Pelodiscus sinensis: one gene and its partners. The protein of the gene in region 1 interacts with the protein of each later gene in a biochemical or structural test. Links are inferred from orthologs where the notes say so. Each region holds a gene or a part of one and is shown on either strand. Other genes may lie near its edges.

Region 1 (7,806 bases):
TCTATTCTACGTGGTGTCTGGCAGCACTCTTATCCTCATCTGAGTGCCTCCTGGCTGTGAATGAAGCTGGGCAACTCACATCTGTCCCTGGTGTTGGCTGCCTCATCTTCTCCCCCCCGGCTTGGCCAGGCTCATTTAACTGCACAGCCACTAATATGATCTATGCCAGTGTTTCTCAACCTTTTTAATAAAGTACCCCTTTTTTAAAAAAATAAATAAATAATATTGAATAGCCTCACTACCTACAGTTTTCAGATACTCACAATTTTTTTCTATTATTGCAACACATTTGTTTAAACAACTTAATCATAGCCAGGTGAGTGGTGAAATTTTTGGGTGTAAAAAGTACAAAAATAATAAAACATTGTAAAACTTAAAACAAATTCAGTTTTCTTCCAATTTCAGGTGTTGATATCCCCTCCCCAACTTCTCTTGAGTACCCCTAAGGGTACTTGTACCACTGGTTAAGAAACACTGATCTATGCCAACAATGCCCCACTGCCACGTATATTGGCCAAACTGGACAGTCTCTACAGGAAAGAATTAATGGACACAAATCCGATAGCTGAAAAGGCACTACACAAAAACCTGTTGGAGAACACTTTAATCTACCTGGACACTCGTTAATGGGTCTCCAAGTCACCCAATTCCACAAGCCAAATTCCCAGAGAAAGATTGGAACTTAACTTCATTTACAAGTTTAATTCTTATGCAAATAGTATGAACAAGGACATCAGCTGGCTCACACACTACTTTCCACATCTTGTGACTTAATGTACCTAACAAACAATGGAGGTGCTAATTGTTCTTATCAGCCTGTTCTAATTACTTGAACCATCTACTCACTGTCTCTATTTTTTCCCTCCCCCTTCTTTATTCTTGGATCTGGACTTCTAATACTCCAGTCATCTGAAGAAGTGGGTTACACTCAGGAAAGCTCATCTACATGTTTTGTTAGTCTTTAAGGTGCTATTAGTTTTTCCAGGAGTAGTGGTTAGTCCTGGCAGAGCCTCAAACTGGCTTCCCAAGCCCTGCCAGAGCAAGTCCAGGCCTGCCCAGCTGGGCCCTGGCCTGGTTTGTTTACCCTTCCCACTGCCCCCTCCCTCCCAGCCAGCCTGGGGAGAGTTTGGTGACTCCAACCACGTGCACCAGCTGCTTCCTCCCCTGGAGGATTCACATGATGTAATCGCAGCAGTGACGCAAAATCACTCCACTCCGGCCAGGCTTGCCCATTGGCTGCTACCGCTGGTTCTACAGGCGGGGTTTCCCCACTGCTCAACCGAACTTAGGCCGGGGGAGCCCCACCCCGGCGGGAACCCATTGGTCGCCTGAAATGCATGGAGGCGGGTCCTCTTTTAACCCCTGCATCGCCATGCTACTTGGTCTCATTCTACACTGGCTACTCAAGTAGCTTGTGTGGGCCTAAAAGATACTGCAAGGGGCCGCAGCTGCATTAGAAAGGGCTAACCCCCAGCAAAAGTTTGCTTATGCAGAGCAGGGAGCTGCCTGAGGGGCAGGGAAAATAGACACGTTTGATTGTAATGCCTCGTGCTGGAAGGCTACTGTAGATTTTGCAATAACTCCTGATCTTATTCACACAGCCAAATCTTTCGCCTAGGCTGTGTTCAATCAGAGATTAGTCTGAAATGCTCTTGCTGTCCCTGGGGTACACTTCAGGGATAACAAGGAGTCCTGTGGCACCTTAAAAACTAACAACATTTAGTTGGGCATAAGTTTTCGTGGGCAATGATCGACTTTGTCAAATGTATTGATTCTCCAAAAGAACATAAGCCCAGCCCTACTAGGTCAGCCTAACCATCCATCTTGCCCAGTGTCCTGTCTCCAGCGGTGGACCATGCTAGAGCTTCAGGCAGAATGTGCAAAAAAGGGCAGTTGGAGTAATCCACCCTCTTTCTCTCTGGTGTTTAGTAGTCAGGTTTAGGGGCTGCATTGCTGACCATCTGGGCAAGAACCCACTGATGAACCTTTGCCATAAAGTCATCTGGTTTTGACCTTCCTAACACCCTGTGGCAATGAGTTCCACAGGTGGTAAATTATGTGGAAAAGGTACTTCCTTTTGTTTTTATTAAACCTGCTGCCTGTTAATTTCCTTGGGTGACCCTTGGTTTTTTGTATTATGGGAAAGAACAATTTACTCCTCTTGCTGTTCATGATTTTACGGACCTCCATCTCTCTCTCGGGGTATGTCTACACTACCCTCCTAATTCGAAATAGGAGGGTAATGTAGGCATACCGCAATTGCAAATGAAGCCCGGGATTTGAATTTCCCGGGCTTCATTTGCATAAAGCCTACCGGCGCCATTTTTAAATGCCGGCAGTTCGAACCCCGTGCCGCGCGGCTACACGCGGCACGGAGTAGCTAGTTCGGATTAGGCTTCCTAATCTGAACTACCTGTACTCCTCGTGGAATGATTAGTTCGGATTAGGAAGCCTAATCCGAACTAGCTACTCCGTGCCGCGTGTAGCCGCGCGGCACGGGGTTTGAACTGCCGGCATTTAAAAATGGCGCCGGCCGGCTTTATGCAAATGAAGCCCGGGAAATTCAAATCCCGGGCTTCATTTGCAATTGCGGTATGCCTACATTACTCTCCTATTTCGAATTAGGAGGGTAGTGTAGACATACCCTCTCTCTCTCTCTCACACCCACACCCATAGTCTCTTTTCTAAGCTGAACAGCCCTCATCTTCATATCCTCTCCTTGTAGCCACTCCATACCCTGGATCATCAGGATCATCAGAGCCAGAGAAAGCTATCACCTGGTGCTTACTACTGTGCCTTTTGCCCAAGGGGCTGAAGGAGAGGAATCAGTATGGTATCTAGAGCAGCTGTGAATTGGAACTCCTGGGTTCTGTCTTAGAATCATAGAATAATAGGACTGGAAGGGACCTCGAGAGGTCATCGAGTCCAGCCCCCCACCCTCAAGGCAGGACCAAGCTCCGTCTACACCGTCTTCATCTTTGCCACTGACCTTTGGCAAATCATGTGTCCTTTTAGACGCCAGCCTTTGCTGGAAGCTACTGCTGTGTAGGCCACTTTCAGTGACCTATATACCCATTTCATGGCAGAAGTACATTATACATTGCCTGTGTTTAAAACATGGAAGGAACTGAAAGATGCTGTCTAGATTGGAGAAGGCAGATGCCTGCAGGTTCCTGTCTCTAGGCTTTAGTAGCATTAGTTTATCACTAGGGGAGTCCCAGCCTGGCTGCTCATTAGCAAGAGGGAGTGAGGGTGTATGGACGGAGGCCAGGTAGTCACTTCTTTCAGAGGCAGGAGGCTGTTCTTTGATATTGTTCACGGAGTGATTGTGTGTTTCATACTTGGGAAGGATGGCCCTGCCTGAAAGAGGCTTCCAACTTCCTTTGCCATGGTTTTGGGTGAAAGAATCTGTTCTGTGCTCTAGGGTGGGCTTGATATTAAATTTGAATCTGGATCCATCTGCAAATAGGGTCCGTGGGCTATCTGTGGATATAAACTCAACTTTGGCAGCTTTGCCCCAGACTCCTAATCTTATTAGATGATTACACCATGGTAACCACACCCCAAAATCACACCCCCGGGGACTTCAAGGCAGTTGCCCTTTCCCTGTTCATCACCACCTCTTGCTTCAGAACAAGTTCAGTTCTTGCTAGTCAGTGTAGCTGAGCTTTGAAATCTGCAGAATCTCTCAGCTGAGCATTGCAGAGACTAATTGTGCTGTCTTCCTGGCCTGTTCCCTCCATTAATTCAGCCTCGGATCGGTGACAACACAAGATATTTCTCTGAGATTTGGGGCCAGCTAGGTGGCACTCTCCCTAATCCTCCTCTCTCAGGCATCTGGAGCGGGGTAGCCCCTCTCTTTCTATCCTCCCACTTGTTCAGACTGCTAGCTGTAGGCGAGCGGGGAGTTGTAGTAGCAAATCATGCTGCAGAGCTGTGCAAAAATCTAGGGTTAGGTTGCCACTCTGCAATCGATCTCTCTTGGAGTGCTGCACATGGCAAACATAAATAGTCCCCAAAAGGCAGGCCTGGCTAGGGGCGGGTTTACTTTCTTCTGGGTCTGCCTCCCCCACGCAGCTCTAGCTAAACCTGATACAAACACACCCTAGACTAGGGTGAGTGGGAAAAGGCCAAGCCATGGCTCCAGGCTCACGCAGTGATCAGCCCGGCTTCCCACTCTGCCTCGAGGAGTGGGTTGTCCAGGCTGGCTGTCAAACAGAAGCGGGAGGCTGCGGCGGCAGGGTCCGCGCGCAGCTAAAACCCGGGGGGCTCTTTGCTGTGGATTCCAGGGGTACATCGGTATAGGGTGGGGGGGGGCGCTCGCATTCCCCCCTTTCGGAGCCGCTCTCCGCTGCAGTCACAGATTAGCTGGAGTCTTAGGGCGGCGCGGTGCGCTACCCGCAACGTGTCTCACTGCAGGGCGCGCTGGTGTGGGGGGGGTCATTTTAGCCCCCCCGGAAAGAAATGCACCAGCGCGCCTGTGACACCAGATCCCGGGAGCGCTGGGTCCCCGCGCCAAGGGGAGACCCCGCTTGTCTCCGTCGGCGGGACACGCGGCCGCCCCCTCCCGGGAAAGTCCTGCCCGTTGCAGCTCCAATCCGCGGCAGGGGAGAGGGGACCCCCGCGCCTGCCCCTCTCCGCGCCGCGGGCTCCCCTGACTCAGCCTCCAGGCTCAGCCCCCCCTGCCCTGCAAGGCTGTGGCTGTCAATCAGGCAGAGGGGGTGGGGCCAGCAGATGGGGCTCCACCCCTCCCTGCCCTCCCCGGTAGCAGCAGGTTTGAAGCACAGTTCCATTGAGCAACTTTTTTTCCCCCTCCCCAGCTATGGAGGTGGGGGCTGCCGGCAGGCTGCGGCCGCTGCCCAGAAGTTGGGTTGCTCCTGTGGGCTGCTGAGTGGCTCGTGTCCATGGACTCCTCCGGGGGAAGGATTTGTTAGCAGGAAAAAGAAAAGGGGGGGAAGCCCCTAGAGCCCAGCAGCAGCCTCCAACGTGACCCCCCCCCCGGCAGGGGGGACACGACCCTGCAGGCCGGACAATGACCAGCCTCTCCTTTGAGGACACGTCCCTGGACAGCCTGGACCCTTCCTTGACTCTGCAGGAATCCAGCGAAATAGACACAGCCCTGCTGAGCGACATCGATGGTGGGTAGCGGCCGGGCACCGGGCAGCTGCCCCCACGGGGAGCAGGCGTGGGGAAGCGGGGCAGGGGACAGCTGGGTCCGGCTCAAGTCCTTGCTAAATGGCAGCTCGGCCACGGGTCTGCGGGCAGCGGGGGTGAATGTTCCTGATGTCCAGGCACTTGTGAACCCGCCTGGCTTAGGGGGGAAGGGCGCTGGGCTTTTTTCCAAGGCTCTTTACCCTTCAACATCAAGGGGGAGGAGGGGTTATTTGCTGCCCCCCTCCGTGCTGCATCTGTCAGGGGCTCGGCCCCTTCCCATCCTCCGGCGCTGTGGCTGAGCTCCGGGCCGTGCAGCCGCTCGTGTTGCCCACGTGTGTGCGAGAGGGGCGCGCTCTGCAGGCGGGCGGCATCTCGGGGTGCTCTCCGGGTTGGTGCATGGCTGGGGGGGGGGGAGTTTCCGTTCTCGCGGGGGGGGGCTGTCCCCACACTGCCCCTAGGTGGGGGGTCACTACTCGCTGAGGATTTTGCTTGGCCCCTGCCAGGGGGTGCAGGGAAGCCAGCGCCACTAAGAAGGGACCAGCCCGGCGCTGCTCCGGGCTCTGGCTCCACGCCCGCTGCTGAGTTGTTGCCCCAAGCCCCGCCCCTTGGCTCCCCCGGGGCCCTGACGTCAGCGGGAGGGTTACTCTCGGTCATTTCCCTCTTGCCGGGGAGAGTTCAGCCGCGAGCGGGCGGCGGAGGGGGCGTGGCCTTGGCCTTGGCCTGCTGGAGAACAGGGCCCCCAGTGCAGCAGGGAGCGCCCAGCAGGGGCCAAGCCAGACCTCCTGGCCCTGGGCATCTGCTCATTCCCCAGCCCCTTTGCCTGAGCTGCCTGGGGCAGAGCGGAGGAGCCTGGCTTGGAAATGCTGCTTGGGGCAGAGCGGAGGAGCCTGGCTTGGAAATGCTGCTTGCCCTGCACCCGGCTCCTTGCAAGGGGGGTGCTGCTTGCAGCCTGCGGGCCCTGGTGAAACCGTAGCAGCCTCTGCAGCGGGTCAGGCTGCCCCAGGGTCTCCGCCAGAGTCTGTCGCAGGGATCTTACTTATTTCCATACTGGCCAAGGACTAGCTAGGCACATTCCCCTCCTGAGCTGCGGCTCTCCTGGCTAGGTCTGTGCCTGGATTGGACTTTATTTTGTGCCATTTTTGATGCCCAAGGACAGTGGGGATGAAGGGGCCCATTTAGAAAGGAGGAAATCCCCCAAGTATCCATAGGAGGGTGGGAAGACCGGTTCTAGACCCTGGTCAGGTCCCTGGGAGACATTCAAGTGAGTTTGGGTCAGGCCCTAAGTGAGCTTGGTTTAACAGAGGTGACATCTGCATCCTGCTGCGCACTCAACCCGTCCTTTCTGACATTCGTCTGTCCATGACTTCCGCTACATACATTCTGGTTTCATGGATGACCTGAAGCCAGTCCAGTTCGGATCCAGCAGGTGCTGCCTGCCTCGCTAGTCAGAGGGTGCCTTTTGAGGCTCACATGTGGCAAAGCTAGTGGCGCATGGGAGACTGTTAGGATGGCTAACTGTGGAGCAAGGCATGCATACACCTATTGGATTTGTCAGCTGGGTTTAAAAGTGGCGGAAGGTGATTTCTTTTTCTGCCGTCTCAAATTAAAAGCAAACAAACTGGAAAATAACCTGCCAAGAGGGTGCTTTCATGGAGCAGTTGAAGGCAGGAGGAGATCAATGGCAGGGAGCTGAAAATGGATGGATTCAAAGTGAAGAGAAGGGACACATTTTTAACAGAGAGTTTAACTGACCATTGGAACAGCTGACCAAGGGAAATGGGCTGTCTGTCATTTGACATCAGAATTCTCTGTTGGACTTTTGCCATCAACATCAGTAGGGTGCGGGCTTCTCTCTTTAAATCCAGAACAGATGTCTTTCCAAAAGAAAAAAACAAGGTCCTGTGGTACATTAAAGGCTTACACAGATATTAGGGAAGGGGGCTGCAGCTCACGAAAGCTTATGCCCTCATAAATGTGTGGGTCTTTTAAGTTGCCACAGGACTCCTCTTTGTTTTGGCTGAAACAGACTAACACGGCTTCCCCTCTGAAACTTTCCAAAAGACACGTTCTCTTCAACCACAAGTGAATGGGCTTGGTGCAAGAATCTTAGCATGGAGTTGACCCACCTGTGTTGTGCTGGAGGTCAGGGTAGATGGTCACAAGGATCCCTCTGAGCATTAAAACTGATGGAAAAGTGATGGGTAAATGTAAGCTGAAACCTGTGTGGTTGGTCACTTGAGCAGAAGATTGCTCAGAGTTAAGGCTGTTCCTGTGGCTTTGCCCAGCATGTAGTTTGTATTCTCTGATGCAATAATAAAGAACAATACATTAAGGGTTACTATTAACCGAGGGAAAGAAGGTAGTGGGGTGGGGGAAGCTAATGTGGCAGTTTTAAGGTTGCTCTGGCAATATTAATTCCTCTCATCGGCCTTCTGGAGGGTTACTAGAACAGCTTCATGATGCAATCCTGCTGGATTTTTACACAGCCTATCCTTGAGAAGATTAGCAAAAGGCAGCTATGTTATTGAATATGTGGACTGTGCAGCTGAGAGCCAGAGCAGAGGGAGTTTGGATCTGGCATTTGTTGTCCATACCCACCTCCAGTTAATTGCATTCTATGAGACCATAAAACCTGCCTTCGTGAACCGCTCA
Region 2 (8,086 bases), on another chromosome or scaffold:
GCCCACGAAAGCTCATCATCTAATAAACCATCTTGTTAGTCTTTAAAGTGCTACATAGTCCTGTATTTTGTTTCTGAATCACAGTGACAGGCCAGGCGTCCACTGCACCCTGTTGCAGAAATGTCTCCCTCCTAGGGTTGCCAGATGGTTTCCCAAAAAATATCGGACACGTGGTATTTAAAAAAAAAAGGAACATGGGGAGGCGGGGCCACAATTGGCACTGGGAGCCTGTGATTGCGCAGAAGCCTTGCAGGGGAGGGGGAGTGGCTGGAACTCCTAGCCATTCCCCCCGGCTAGGCTTCTGAAGTGCCCAGAGCGGCGATTCAGAAGCCTAGACACATGTCCGGTATTCTCTGATTTTTTTTACCAGATAAATAGCGCAAATACCGGACTGTCCGGTAGAATACTGGACACCTGGCAACCCTACTCCCTCCCTTCCCACCTTGAGATCACTCTAGTGTCATAACACTGCTGTTGGAACACGAAAGTCCAGCACTAACACGCTATATTGTCTTCTGATTGCTGCCCTCCAATACAGATGCTCCTTCTGTACATCCCAAGCAAAGGAGGAAAGAAAATTAAATACAAATCAGACCCCTCTACACACCCGCATACTTCAAAGCAATCACCTCTCTCCTCCCTGCCTAGCCTCTGAAGGAGCTCCAACACACAAATGCCACAAACATTTGACTCCCAAACTCGAATAAAGAAAACAGTGAGATCAGTGCACCTGGAATGGAAAAGGTAAGGGGGGAAAGAAGAGGGATTAATCAGAGTTTTCAAACTCCAGATTGAATCCAGCAGAGAGCAAATCACTCAGCTGGGGTGACCATGTTGTTTGCCAAAGCTAAGTTTAGGACAGGGATGAGGAAGCTAAGGCCTGGAGCTGGATGCAGCCCCTGGCTTGCCTGGATATGGCCCCTGAGGCTCAGGGTTCCCCCCACAGCAATGGGAAATATGTGCTGGTATTCCAGCCTCCTCTCCCACCATTCCCCTTAGGCTCTGGTGTACAAGGGGGCTGAAGCACACAAAATCTACTATCCTGGACCCCACTTAGCTCTGGTATATGAGGGGAACATGGGAGGTGTCTTTCTCCTTCTGAGTTGGGGGCCACATCAGTGAGGGTTTGTTTGTTTGTATTTTGCTTCTCACTTGTGTTTGGCCCTAGACTTATTTTTCTGTGGGACAGCAGCCCACAAACGGTTCCCCACCCCTGCTTTAGGCGTCTCTTAAAACTGATAAACTGAAGTATGGTTAGATTTAGGTCAGGCTTAGAATTACCATTAGTGCCAGTTTGTGAGTTCAAGGCAGGATTAACATGTGGACCATGCTGAGCACCAAATTAGATTTAGTGTGTGGCAGAATTAAAGACCAGGATTCTGGTTAGGGCTGGGTCAGGTTTGTTTTACTTCTCCCTCTGGCTAGAGAACTGAGAACGCATGCTGCAAGCCTTACTAAACATACAATGTTGCCATTGGGGTGAATAGCTGAGACTGGGCATGCACTAGGGATGTTAAATTTAGACTAATTGAATAGTTGATGGAATTTTCATCGACTATTCAAATAGTCGATAAGGGCGTCTCTGCCTTTGAAATGTAGCAAGAGCCTCACTGGGGCCAACAGGGGGACTCAAGTATTCCCCCGACTCAAGCTGGAGTCAGATGAAGGTAGGGAGGATAAGGTAGGGTGGTGGGGAAGGTCCTCCAGTGAGATAATGACAAAGGCGTCACCCTCTGGAGCCTGGGGATGTATTTTTGAATCCCCCTGGAGCTTTTGTACATTTCAAAAGCAGGGAGCACTGGGCCACAGGGGGACTTCTTGAGTCCCGCGCTGGCCCCATACTCTCCACAGCGCTTCTGCTTTTGAAATGTAGCAAGAGACTCCCAGTGGAGTTAGTGTTGGGGTAAACCGGCTTTTAAGCTGGCTCCCTCCAGCATCGGCTCCTGCTCCCCCGACTTGCTGCCTCTCTCTGATAAGCATATCCTTATTGGATGGTCAATACTTGCTTACATCCCTACCATGCACAATGCATTTCACAGGCTCTGTGAAACTCACTGAGATGGAAGAATTCACCCTCTCGTTACTTCTACTGTTACTCCCACTAGCGTAGCTATACTAATGTAAACTTTTGAAATATGTGGGGTTCGCTTGTATTAATTTATGACTTCTATATGCTCTATATGTTTGTCTGATTGTTGTAAGGAGGTTTATTGCAAGATAACAAGATTATTTAAGAAAACCCTGTTTGCTTCAGACATCTACTACTAATCCTTAAGGTCCAATGCATGAGCCATCCACTTCGATTACCAGACTAATTTATTAGGTTTTTTTTGTATTTCCAGGAGGCTCTCCAGACTTGTAAATATACAAGAACAAATATCCTAACTAGAAGAAGAACACTGCTGTAGCACCTTAGCGAAGATGCTATTACACAGACCTAAGCAACAGTAACTATGTGAAAGAAGTTGTGTGTACATAACACTCTCCATGGGGTTTGAGTGTATAAAAGCATCACTCCAGATGGTGGATTTTTTACACACCACAGGGCTTAGCATAAAATGGACCGGGGAGGGGGGGTGAGGGGAAATGTACCCACGACAGCTGTTGAGTTGTTTTGCAGTACGGTTTTCTCTTGCACCTTATTCCTACAAACAAGGCTCAGCAAGATTTTGGTTTAGGAAGGCAGCCTGGCCACCGTAGGCACCACTGCTCCCAAGCTCTGGAGAGGGTGCCCAGCAGTCAGTGTTTTTATATCCTGGGAAAATTCCAAAATTCTGGGAATTTTTGAGTATAATGTGTCAAAATGGGAAATTGGGAATTTTCTTGAAAATCTGTTAAATCCTGGGAAATTTTCAATAAAATTAAAATTTCTGTTCATTTTGTCGTTCCTTTGGTATAAAAATTTGCAGACCATTCAGATTTATCAAAAACTGCTCTCAGTTGGTCAATAGGGTTGCCTGTCAATTTTTAGAACTCATTGAACTTGATGCTAAAAATTGAACAGTGGAAAGCATTTATACTAAATTCAGGGAGTCAATGTTCAAAAAAATATCCCATTGAATAATATTTTGGGTGTTGCTTGTGATGGTGCAAATTTGATGATAGGAGCAAATAATTCCTTTTTCTCTAAACTTAGAGAGGATGTTCCAGATGTTGTTTTGTTGAGATGTATTTGCCATATGTCAGCCCTGATATCAAGTTCAGCTTCTACAGTTTTGCCTAATTTCGTAGAGCAGTTTATAACAAATATCACTAACTATCCAGCACATAGTGTTAAAAAGAAAGAAGAAATTGAGGAGATGGTTGAATATTTTCTCCATTTAAATTTATCTATGTTAAACTCAAGTCAAACAAGGTGGTTAGCTGTACACCCTTGTGTAAATAGAATATTAGTGCTGTGGGATGCCCTGTTTAACTATATACAACTTGAGTGTGTCGATCAAAAAAGACCAAAAGCAAAAGAAATAGACGATGCAATGTGTAATCCAGAACTTAAAGCCTACCTACTATTTTTGAAATATGTTTTGGATTACACGAACAAATTCAATGCTCTCTTTCAAAGCCAATCTCCACTCATTCATTGCATTAAACCAGTCAGTGAACCTTTTCAAAGTAATTGCAACAAATTACTTACAACCATATTTCCTAAAAGGTGACAATGAAAGTTAATGTGTCGCATCCCTCTATTTTTATCAAAATTAATGAAATGTATACTGGTCCAGAGTGTGAGGAGTCCTTAAAATGTATTGATCCTAGTGTAGCTATCAATGTAAGAAAAGTGATTCAGCATTATTACATCACTTGTTGTCAAGAAATGCAGCACAGGCTGCCACTTGACTCAGTTGTTTTCTCAGAGGTTGGATTTATAGATCCTAAAATTTGTCTTAGGATGTTGATGTAGATAAAGAAAAAAAAGATATCTCCAAACTTTGTGCAGTATTTAAGATACATGTGAACTCTGCTCAGAGTGAACTCAAAGCCTTGCCATTTTCTTTAGAATCAAATCAAACTGAATGTGTAAAGAATAAGCCTATTAATGAAATGTGGCATGAAATTTCTAAAACGAAACATTTTTCTGAAAAATGTATGTTTTCAAACATTTGTAAATTATCTCAAAAGGTTTTAGCATTGCCACATTCAAATGCAGCATGTGAGAATTTTTTCAATGGTTACAGACATTAAAACTAAAAGGAGTAACATGAAAACTAAAACACTTAATTCTAGTGTAATTATCAGCTCAGCTTTTAAAGCAAAAAAAATGTTCTAGTTTTGTAATTACAAAGAAGCATTTAAGTTTACATAATAAAAATAAGTATGAATATGGATATGCCAGAAAAACTGGTGGTCAGACTGATAAAAATATTAATGCTGGTGATGACATTTCTAGTGAGGAGTCAAGTCATGACTCAACTGAAAACTCATCGTGATAGTTAAATATTATGTATTAAATATTCTATTCATTTTATATGAAACGAAAATATTTTATATTTGACGACTTCCTTTATTTATCATATATAACTGAAATGTATACTGAAGTGTATACTGAAGTGTATACTGTACGGATTTTATCCTCCAGGAGTAAAATAATTAAACTGTTTTATTATTCTTTCATTGTATGAAATACAATCCATGAAATTAAGGATATTTGGATATATGAAAAATAATTATTTTTGGATGAAAAGTTCAGCTTTCATAAAATTATATTTTTAATTATAGAGAGCATCATAAAACCATCAAAATTATTGTCGTATATTTCGAGTTATTAATTATATATATATATATATATATATGTATATAAAATAAAACCAACGAATTAACGATACATAAAATAGCCTTTATAATATGTAAAAAATAATCTGGGAATTTTTCAGCAGATTTGGGACAGCGCTGGCCTGGGAAAAGTTGGCAACACGATATAGAAACGCTGCCAGCCGTGGGGCTTGCTGCCTAAGCCCTGCTGAGCCGGAGGGAGTAGAGGATGCGCCCCCGCCTGAGCACCAGAGAAGCCTGAGGCCTCGCCAGCCTGGGCCCGGCGGTGCCCGCCCCTGCAAAGGCAGAGCAGCGCTCGGCTTGTGCGCTGGGCGCGTCCAGCAGCAGCGGGGCGGGCCTCAGGCCGGGGAGCGAGGCGCGCGGAACTGCCCGGCCCGGGGAGCTGGTTCCCGGCGGGGCCGGATTCCGGGACGCACCTTCCGCCGGGGCCGCGGCCGCCTGAGCCAGAAGCCGCCGCCGCTGTTCGGCTCCTCAGCGCGGCCACCCCCAGGCGGGGCTGCGGGACCCGGGCCCGGTTCGGTGCCGCCGCCCGCAGAGAGTCGGGGGCCGCGGGGCGGGGCCATGGCCATCCCGATGGTGCCGATGGAGACCCAGCTGCAGAGCATCTTCGAGGAGGTGGTGGTGAGCCCCGGCCGGGCGGTCGTGGGGCCTCTGCGGGGAGGGGCTGGCTCGAGACTTCAGTGCTAAGTGGGGTGCGGGCCTGGCGCGCTTTGGCCGGGGGAGGGGAACACGGGCCCCGCTGTGCCGGCGTTAAGCTATTGAAGAGCCTCACGTGTCCCGCTAAGAACGGGCGGGCAGAGCGAGAGAAGAGTAAAGCGAAAGAGCCTGGGTCTCGGCTCCCTTCTTGCCTAACTGCTGTGGGGGGAGTGATAGGTGGGGCAGAAGCTGGTTTTAAGGAGGGATTTAAAAGAGGACAGCTGATGGCTTTGACAGCCAAAGTGGGTTGGGTTTGGGGGGTTGTTTTCATAAAGGGTAGCGTGGTGACGTGGGAGAAATCATGAGAATGCTTGAGCCAGAAGAGGGTGATCAAGGAGGCATCACTGGTCAAATGAAGACAGGGTTGGTGGGTCGGTCATTTAGTTATGAAGATGAGTACCACAAGTCTAAATGATAATCCTGAAAAGCAAAACCCAGGAGTTTTGTGTTTGATGTAGTGGAAGAGAGGGGAGCCAGTAGGCTACCAAGAGTAGAGAGATGTGGTTGGCCCTAGAGAGGTTAAATTTTGATTAATTAACTAATTGAATAGTCCGTGGGATTTCTATCTATTATTCCATTAAGTCAATAAGGACTAGCAGGCGTTCTGCCTTTGAAATGTACAAGAGTCCCAGCAGGCTGAGGCTGGGCTCCATGTGATGCTTGCGCTTTGAAATGTACAAGAACCCTTGCTTGAGCTCTTGTACAGTTTAAAGTGGAAGCGCCTGCGAGGAGCCCAGGGTCAGTGTGGAACCCCCCGCTGACTCCAGGCTCCATGCCGGCACTTACGCTTTCAAATGTACAAGAGCCCCAGCAGGGACTCGTGTACGTTTAAAAATTGGACCGCTCTCCATGCAGGCGCTTCCTCTTTTTTTTTTAAATGTACAGGAGCCCCAGTGGGGATTCTTGTACATTTCAAAGTTGGAACTCTGCTGCTGCACACCTGTCCCCTCCCATGGAGCTGGAGCGAACTGGCTTTTAAACCAGCTCTGCCCCCCCCTCCCCCCCCCACCTCTCTGTGAGTGGGGGAGCGGCTAGTTGACTAGTATGTTGACTATCCGATAAGCTTTTGCTTATAGGTTAGTCAACTAATGGATTAATCACATCCCTAGTTGGAGCTAGGAAAATAAGCGGATCCCTTTATTTTTAGTAGATTTAAGGAATGTGATGTGGCAGATGTCACAGTCAGAGATTGGGGTTATAACACTCAAAGTCTTGGATGACAATGGCCTCTACAAGAGATTTGGCAGTCTGATGCAAAAGGCTGAATCTTAAGTAGTAGTAGTAAGGCAGCAGTTCTCACAAGTTACTCTTCCTGGCAGCCACTTTGACTTGTTTTCCTAACATATTTAATTAAATTTTGGCAGAACAAATAAATATGAACATATACATGTCCAAATCCTTCTAACTTATTTGTGTAGAGTTCAAGGGATTTTTTTTTCTTTTTTTTTTTTTGGTTTACAAATTCAGTAATACAAATAATGTAGTTGTCTCTATTCTTCACTGGACCTAAACAGAATAGAAATACAAATAAAGTGCTTTGTACCATCCTATCTTTTTTGCCTGCTCCTTTTGCTCATTTCGGGGTGGTGGTGGTGGCGTTTGTTTAGATTTGCTAGCTAGCAAGTCATCTTCTGTGAAAAGTAGGGATGTGACCAAGTAAGCATCACCCTTAATAATTAAGGGTGATGCTTACCAGGTAATCGTTAACCATTAACAAGGAGCAGTCCCCATGGGTGGAAATTCAGGAGACTATCTGTTCCAAACCCTTGCTCAAAGCAGGGCCTCAACTAAATCATTCCAGCCAGGGATTTGTCAAGCCAGGCCTTAAAAACCTCTAAGGTTGGACATTCTATCACCTCCATATGCTTACCACTCTCCTAGAAAAGTAGTTTTTCCTAATAACCACCCTAGACTTCCCCCACTGCAGTTTGATCTGCTGCTTAGCCAGTTGGTAGCCGGTTGCTGCTTAGCCAGTCAGTAGCAGTGAATGGGATTTTTTTATCTTAAGTGCAGGACCCTGCATTTGTCCTAGCTGAACCTCATCAGATTTTTTTTTGGCCCAATCCTCCAATTTGTCTAGGTCACTCTGGACCCTATCCCTGCTTCCTGCGCATCTACCTCTCCCCCCCAGCTCAGTGTCATCCACAAATTTGCTGATGGTGCAATCCATCTCTTTATCCAGATTAATGAAGATGTTGAACAAAACTGGCCCCAAGATAGACATCTGGGGCACTCCACTTGATACTGGTTTCCAGATAGACATCAAGCTGTAAGATTTTAAAAAGCATAGACATACTTTAAAATTTTAATTTTAAATGTTTATTTGGGATGTTAAAATGGTTAAACGGTAGCACTTGGCTGGTTAACCATTTTAACCTAGTTCCTGTCCAGCCCTATCGCAGCTGCAGCTGGGGGTCCCACCACCCAGCCCAGTGGCTCGCGGTGACCAGGGCTTCTCCAGCCCAGCATGTCTGACCACCTCTGGAGTTATTGGCAGTGTTTATTTTTTAAAAATGTGTGTGTTAATTTTTTTTTAAATAATCTTTTTATATCTACCTTGCAATAACTAAATTAACAAACTTGAAATACTTTTTCTGAGAAGCTTGTGTTTGTCCGAAAA
Region 3 (7,406 bases), on another chromosome or scaffold:
CACATGGTGCTGTCACTTTGAAATGCCACGTGCAGCCCAGCGCCAGCTGAGGACTCCCATCTGGCCCTGGGCTCCACACAGCGCTGCCACTTTGAAGCACCTTGTCCCCCCAAACCTTGCTGCCTTTTTCTGATAGAAGTAGCAAGCAGAAGGGGGGGAGGGAGGAGAGGAGAAGCGACTAGTCATTCACATCCCTAGTTACAACTATATGAAGAGTAATACACAGGATTAACAATATAAAGCATAGTGCTCATTCTTTGATTATGGTCACTGCTGTTGGGCCTTTTTAATTTCTTGGGAATAATAAAGATATTCTTAAACTTCATAGGGGTAGCCAAGTTAGTCTGTAACAGGAAAAAATTAAGAAACATCAAATAGTCTAGTAGCACTTTAAAGATTAACAAAACCTGTAGATGGTATCATGAGCTTTCGTGGGCACAGCCCACTTCTTCAGATGACCAGAGTGTTGAAGTCCAGATCCAAGAATAAATAAGGAAAGACGGGGGGGAGGGAGAAGGAAAAAAATTGAAGGGGAGGAAGAAAAAAAGACAGTGAGTAGATAAGCTTCAAAAGGACAGCCGAGCGAGTCTGTAACAGGAAAAACTTAAAAACCAACAAACAATTGAGGGGTATGTCTACACTAGCTCGTTAATTCGAGCTAGGTAGGCAAATGAGGTGACCAGAGTTGCAAATGAAGTCCGGGATTTAAATATCCCGGGCTTTATTTGCATGTTCCCATCTGGTTGCCATTTTGAAATTTCACTAGCCCGAACTTATTGCCGCGCGGCTACATGCGGCAGTGAAATGTTAATTCAAACTAAGTCCCAAGGAGTAACAGTTAATTTGAACTAAAGACTTAGTTCGAATTAACGTTTCACTGCTGCATGTATCCGCGCGGCAGTGAGTTTGGGATAGTGAAATTTCAAAATGGCGACCAGATGGGAACATGCAAATAAAGTCCGGGATATTTATATCCCGGGCTTCAATTGCCTGCCTACCTTGAATTAACGCGCTAGTGTAGACATACCCTAATAGCATCTTGACTAAATAATTATAAGAGGCTGATAAGAACCATTAGCTTGCACTTGGAAAGGAAAATGAACAACGCCAGATTCTACACAGACATTAAGAACCATTAGCACCTTCATTGTTTGGTTGGTTTGATATCACAATTCAAGCCATTAGTATAAGAATTAAACTTGGGAATGAAGTTAAGCTCCAATCCTTCTCTGTGTATTTGGCTTGTGGAATTGGTCAAACAAAACAGCGACTTGGAGATCCATTAATGAGTGTCCAGGAAGATTACAGTGTTCTCCAACAGGTTTTTATGTGTTGCCTTTTTGGATATCTGATTTGTGTCCATTAATTCTTTCCTATAGAAACTGTCCGATTTGGCCCAATATACATTGCACTGGGGCATTGCTGGCATTTGATGGCATAGATCACATTAGTGAATGTACAGTTAAATGAGCCTCTGTGCCCTAGATCACAATCCAAACCCTTGCACCCTTTCCTACACCCCTTCCTACACTCATACCCCTTACCCAACCTTGCATGCCAATGCACTGAACCAGGTCACAATCCTCTCCTTCACTCAAACTCCCTCCCAGACTTCACACCCCCTCCTGCATCCCAGTCTCCTATCCTGAGCTCCCTTCTATAGCCCTTGACCACTTACCAAATTCTTGGAGTGCTCCCCCATTAAAAATTATTGCTCACCCCTGTGCTGGCTGCTTCTGGAGCACAGCATGGTGCCCCCAGGACAGGCAGGCACCAAGTAGCCGAACCCCAGCCCCCGTCCTAAATCCTTCCTGCACCCCAAATTCCTGTCCCCAGCCTGATAAAAGAGAATGAGGATGGGGAGGGAAGATGGGAGTGAGCAGGTGCGGGGCCTCAGAGAAGGGGCGGGAAGGAGACCAGGAGCCCCCCCAGGTAAGCCTGAGTCGCCCCCCCCCCCACACTCCCACCCCAAAGGAGCCATGTGCTGCTTTAGTTAAGCTGACCTAACTCTTGGTGGTGGCATGATCAGAGTAAAATTCTATCAAACCTAGCTACTGCTGTTAGGGAAGGTGGATATCAGTGGTCACCAACAAGTAGATTAGGATCTACTGGTAGATCTTGGAGCCTTTGACAGGTGATCCTGAGAGGTTTGGCCGGGAGACTATCAAGTGCCAGCACTTCAGCTTCCCCTCTAAGTGCTACCCTGTTGCTCCTTCCCCCAGCCTTGGAACTGCCCCCCACCCATGGGAGCTTCCTGCTTGCTGTGCAGGGCACGGGAAGAAGAGGAAGGGGGGTACTGATCTCAGGGTGCCCCTCCCTCCATCCTGTACCCCATCTCCACAGAGCAGAGGGGGACAGGGGTGGAGAGAGTTTGATGGCTGCTTTTGGGAGTGGTGCAGGACCAGGGCAGGGGTGAGCCTACCTTAGCCCCCTGCACCACCACCAAGAAGCCACCTGTGGTAAGAAGTATCCAGCTGGAACCTGCATTCTGAACCCCAGCCCCCATCCTAAATCCTTCCTGCACCCCAAATTCCTGCCCCCAGCCTGATAAAAGAGAATGAGAATGGGGGAGGGAGGATGGAGTGAGCAGGTGCAGGGCCTCAGAGAAGGGGCGGGAAGGAGACAAGGCAGGGGTATTTGGGTTTGAGGTAGATCCTGGATTGCACTTAAATTCAAAAAGTGATCTCATGTTTAAAAAGGTTGGAGACCACTGATCTACATCAATGAAAAACCCTTTTCCATCAACATATGAAGTGTCTACACTAAGGGTGTGTCTAGACAACAGGGCTTTTTAAAAAGAAGTGGTCTTTTAAAAAACAAAATTTCCCCGCATCTAGACTGCTGATACTTTTGAAAAAATGCAAGTCAAAAGAATGCAGCAGTTTTTTTGATCATGGAATACCTCATTTTACAAGGATTAACGCCTTTTTTTGAAAGTGCTCTTTCTAAAAAAAGGCGCTATGTAATGCAAACTGTGCTTTTTCAAAAAAAGCATCTAGACTGCCAGGGTGCTCTCTTTCAAAAAAGCGGCTTGCTTTTTTGAAAGTACTGTTTGTAGTCTAGATGCTCTTTTTCGAAAGAGGCTTGCAGTCTAGACATCGCCTAAGAGTACCACAGTCATGCTATGCCACAAAACATAGATATGCCCAAAGTACACTAATAGCAATGCCTGTTACTATTTGTAGAAAACCATGACCTTATGAAGAGTGTAACATTCATCGTATTGCCAGCTCATAATTTTATAAAAAGTCTTATAATACTAGATCATCTCCTGCAGGTATATCCTGAGAATCTTAGCTTGTATTTTAAAAAAATTAATGTGAATCTGTAGCCTTAAAGGATACAGAGAAAAGCAGGAAAACAAGAGGCTCAAAAAGCAACAAGGAAAATGTATGAAGCAAATGCGAGTTTCTTTTGGGCTTTTAAAAAGTTTCATTTTTAAGCCACTCAGATTTTTTTAATACACAGGGTTGGCAATTCTCTCTCTCCTTCTTCAACCAGGTTTTCCTTTTTCTCCTACTTTGATGAAAACAGGAATCCCAGTGATTTTAAGCTTGCCTGCACAAACTGGTAACAGTTTAATTGCAGGTGTGTTTTAAAACGGATTTACTTAAATCTGTGCACATTTGCATATGCATACATAATATTTATATTTAGCAGTGGTTTATTTGGGGGGTTAGTTTAAATCTTGCAAAACACAGTTTAAATTAAACAAATACTCAGATGAATAAGCATCTAAAACGATAAACTTTTAAACACACCCTTAGTTAAACTTCTACAGCTCTGGCTGTAATGCAAGCCTTCTGATTTCTTAACACCACTCCCTCCTCCAACTTGTATTAAAAATAGTGGCACCTCCTGTCCGTCCTCTGCAGCCCTCACTGGGCTGATCGCTTTGGGGTGCTCCCCTTCGTTCTCAGCCCCTCTCCCCTACTCTGTGGGACCATTTGCTTTTTCTTTCTCACCTCCCCACCCCTAAGGCCTGCTCCATCCGTGCCCTTACAGCGCTTCCTCCTGCCCCGCACAACATCCCAGCTGCTCACGCCTCCCGCAGCCCCGCCCCTTCCCGCGCTCCCCTTACATAACGCCTCGCACTGGCAAAGCCCCGGCAAGCTACCCCGCTAGTAGGTCACGTGAGGGGGTGGAGGGCATCGGCGAGGTGCGCCCAGCCTTTGTACCGGGGTCACGTGACGGCGGCATTTCCCACCCTATCCCTTCCCCTCACGTGACCCAGTTTGTTGTTGTTGCGGCCTCTGCGGGGAGGGTGCCCGCGTGGGCGGCGGTGAGGTCACGTGCAGGGTTTAAATCTCTCCCTGGAGGGCGGGGGGGATCGGGGAAGGGGGCTGTAGCTGAGGCGCTGGTGCGCCGGACTGGGGGAGGCGGCGGTTGCTGTTCCAAGATGGCGGACGAGGAGACTCTGCTCCTCCAACCGCGCAGCGGCCCCTGTGCCGCAGCCGAGAGCGCCGAGCCCCTTCCTAAGCGCCAGCGCCTGGACTTGGAAGACGGTGCCGGGCGTGGCTCGGTGACGGGCCCAAGCCCAGAGCGAGGCGTTGGGACGGCGCCCACCGCAGGCTCCGCAGCTGGGGCGGTGGGGGGGCCGGCGGCGGAGGGCTGGAGCGGCGCGGACAACGGGGCCGGGCTGCGGGGCCTGCCCCGCGAGGAGCCGCCCCCACAGCAGCAGGAGGGGGAGGGGGCGGAGACGGCGCCCAGTGGAGACGAAGCGGACACGGCCATTGGCTACAGACGGTCGCAGTATTCACACGAGGTGCCTGCCCCGCGTCCCGGTGAGGATCCCCGGCTTGACCCCGTGGCGGGGAGCGGCGCCCTTCCTGCTCCCTCTCCTCGCCGGGGCCAGTGAGAACCCTCCCCTGGCCGCCCGGGCACAGACAGTTCAAGGGGGGAGGCGGCTGCGTTACTCAGTGGGCCTCCCCCTTCTGTGTGACACCAGTCACCGAGGCCCCTGCCCCACCGCGCGCACGTAGCCGGGGGCGAGCCGTCTGCCACGCTCACTCGCGGCTGGGCAGCGTAGGTCGTTCCCTTCCCCCGGCCTGGCGAGGCGCAGTTAACCTCCTGCCCTCCTCCCTACACCGGCTGGGTTTGGGGAGAAGCAAGCGAATTCCTCCACCCGCCACAGAGTCATCTGCTCCGGGCAGGTGTTGAGCAGTGGGCAGCTGACCCGTCACGCTCATCTCCCTATTTGGAGGCGCAATGGAATCAGCCGCGCTTACGGCCCCCATCCTTTTGCAGCAGCATCTTATTAACGGGACACCGATGCTAAGTTTTTAGTTTCGTTTTTTGCACACATAAGCTTGTCAAATGCCCTTTGCGCTCAGTGATGTGCGTTGATTTATGTATGTGTGCGCTCGCTGAGCGTGTGTATTATAGAAGCATGTCTTCTGCTCCATATTGCTACATCTACTTCGGTTTGTAGATATAGAAAAATCGTGTAATTGGCCATTGGTTTGTACTCCTATGGGATTTGTGACAAATTTATTTTTCAACTTATAACTTTTATAGCCTGTACAATAAGTTCAGTAGACACAAAATTATTACACTGCTTCTGGAACTGGAAAAAAATATTACTATGATAATGTAGAGATTGCTAGATTGAAGTTTGAGTGATACTATGTTGATTTCTGTGCTGCTTATTTGTAGATAGTTTTTATGTATTGCATGTGCATCCATTATTCCCAAATTCAGTTTACCCTCTTAATTTCACACTGCTTTTTCAGTTTTATTTCCTGGACTTCTAAAAGGAGACTAATTTAAGTCATGTTGTAAACAAATTTATTTAATAATGTTAATAGCATCCTGTAAGTGAAATTTTTAAAAGGTTGTTTCCTATATGTATTTGGTATTCTTTCAATTTTTGTTTCCTGAAAATAATTTTCATGAGAGTTGTGATCCACTGAGCAAGTCTTGCCAGCTCCTTCTGTAATTGGCCCCAATACTGAGGGCTTTGCCTGAAAAGATTCAGTAAGCATACTAACCTTTCTGGAAACTGCCCTGCTTGAGGAATCACCTGACTGTGCAGAGGGTGGTATAGTTAAACAGGCTCTTCTACTGCAAAAATTTCTCAGTATAATGAGAAATATGGGTAGGGCCTACCAAACTATTAATGATCTAAACCCTAGTCCTTCAAACATTTCCTTAACTTGGTTTAATTTCACTGAGATATATCACATAGCCCTTTTTGGTGAACATAAAGAAATCTATACCAAGGCATGCAACTTGTGTTTGCAAATGTATAAACTATCACTTCTGCTTATTTTATGCATAAATCAGGCTATCTTCCTATAAAGACTTGAGGTGAGAGTGGAAACTGTCCAAACACACAAGACACCATGAGAGGCTAGATTACCAAAATAGCACTCATACTTTTATATTGGTTTCAAATTTTAACTTGTAATACCATGTCTCTTTTAGGGATGTAAGTGACTAGTTGATTATCTGATAAGCATATGCTTATTGGGTAGCCAAGTAGTGACTTGACTAGTCACTCTCCCCCCACTGCCTCTAAGAGAGAAGCAGAAATTGGGGGAGGCGGGGAGGATGGGGAAGGGAAAGCAGGAGCCAGTGCTGACAGGGAGCTGGCTTAAAAGCCAGTTCTCCTCTTCTCTCTCTTCTCCCCCCCCCCCCCAGCACCATTTATAGGGGGACAAGAGAGGCAGAGGCATCGCAGGGACCAGGCCCAAACCAGGAATTAGCTGATTCCCGTCTCGAGACTGTTCCCAGATGCTGTGCCTCTGCTTTTTAAATGTATTAAGAACCACCTGGTGGCTCTTAATACATTTAAAAAGCAGAGCCACAGCGGGGTTAGCTCACTGGCGGGGAATTAACCCTGCTGTGGCTCTGCATTTTCCCCATTTATTGACTCGATTAGCTGCTTGCCTGCAATTTAACATCTCAAGTCTGTTCTTCTATTCCTTAGTTAATAGCTGTAGGGCTTGAAAGATAATCTGCAAAGGAAGATGGGGTTAGGATTTGTACTGCCCTTCTCCTCCTTCCCCCCCACCCCCATAAAAGGGGTATCAACTGCATGTTCTGCTTTTTTTAACATAAAAAAATGAAGACCATGGCCTTATCCAGAATAGGATAAAGAAAATTAAACAATTTGCTTTTTCTTTTAGGAGGAGTTGGGAGTGAGTTACATTTCTTTCCTTGTTCTTCAATTTAAAAATAATCAGACCTGTCAGATCTGGCCTTCCTGGGTTTTGCTGAAGACCTGAGGTTCTAACACCATGGTATACAACCAATTCTGCTATAGCGAACTAACCACGTTCAAGTGGCCAAATACCACATTGTTCAAGCCAAATACTGTAGCCAATAGTGGCTAGTGTATTGGATACCATGTTTCTAATATTTGGAAAATCTAGGGTTCCTCTTAGGTTAAAGTCAACCCAGTT

Evidence for each region.
Region 2: the proteins of SREBF1 (region 1) and MED23 form a complex in vitro, tested with the Homo sapiens proteins (2 studies listed by BioGRID). The link is inferred for Pelodiscus sinensis from reciprocal best matches to the Homo sapiens genes SREBF1 and MED23.
Region 3: of the proteins of SREBF1 (region 1) and SIRT1, one has a biochemical effect on the other in vitro, tested with the Homo sapiens proteins (2 studies listed by BioGRID, with this or other methods). The link is inferred for Pelodiscus sinensis from reciprocal best matches to the Homo sapiens genes SREBF1 and SIRT1.

Annotation. Positions count from the first base shown.
Region 1 is NC_134726.1:33,268,700-33,276,505, forward strand, and holds the start of SREBF1 (sterol regulatory element-binding protein 1), read left to right. Parts: upstream 1-4,752; 5' UTR 4,753-5,032; coding exon 5,033-5,138; intron 5,139-7,806.
Region 2 is NC_134713.1:93,693,477-93,701,562, reverse strand, and holds the start of MED23 (mediator of RNA polymerase II transcription subunit 23), read left to right. Parts: upstream 1-5,026; 5' UTR 5,027-5,331; coding exon 5,332-5,391; intron 5,392-8,086. UniProt on the Homo sapiens protein: Required for transcriptional activation subsequent to the assembly of the pre-initiation complex. Component of the Mediator complex, a coactivator involved in the regulated transcription of nearly all RNA polymerase II-dependent genes.
Region 3 is NC_134718.1:27,706,520-27,713,925, forward strand, and holds the start of SIRT1 (NAD-dependent protein deacetylase sirtuin-1), read left to right. Parts: upstream 1-4,324; 5' UTR 4,325-4,399; coding exon 4,400-4,784; intron 4,785-6,766; exon of another isoform or gene 6,767-7,244; intron 7,245-7,406. UniProt on the Homo sapiens protein: NAD-dependent protein deacetylase that links transcriptional regulation directly to intracellular energetics and participates in the coordination of several separated cellular functions such as cell cycle, response to DNA damage, metabolism, apoptosis and autophagy.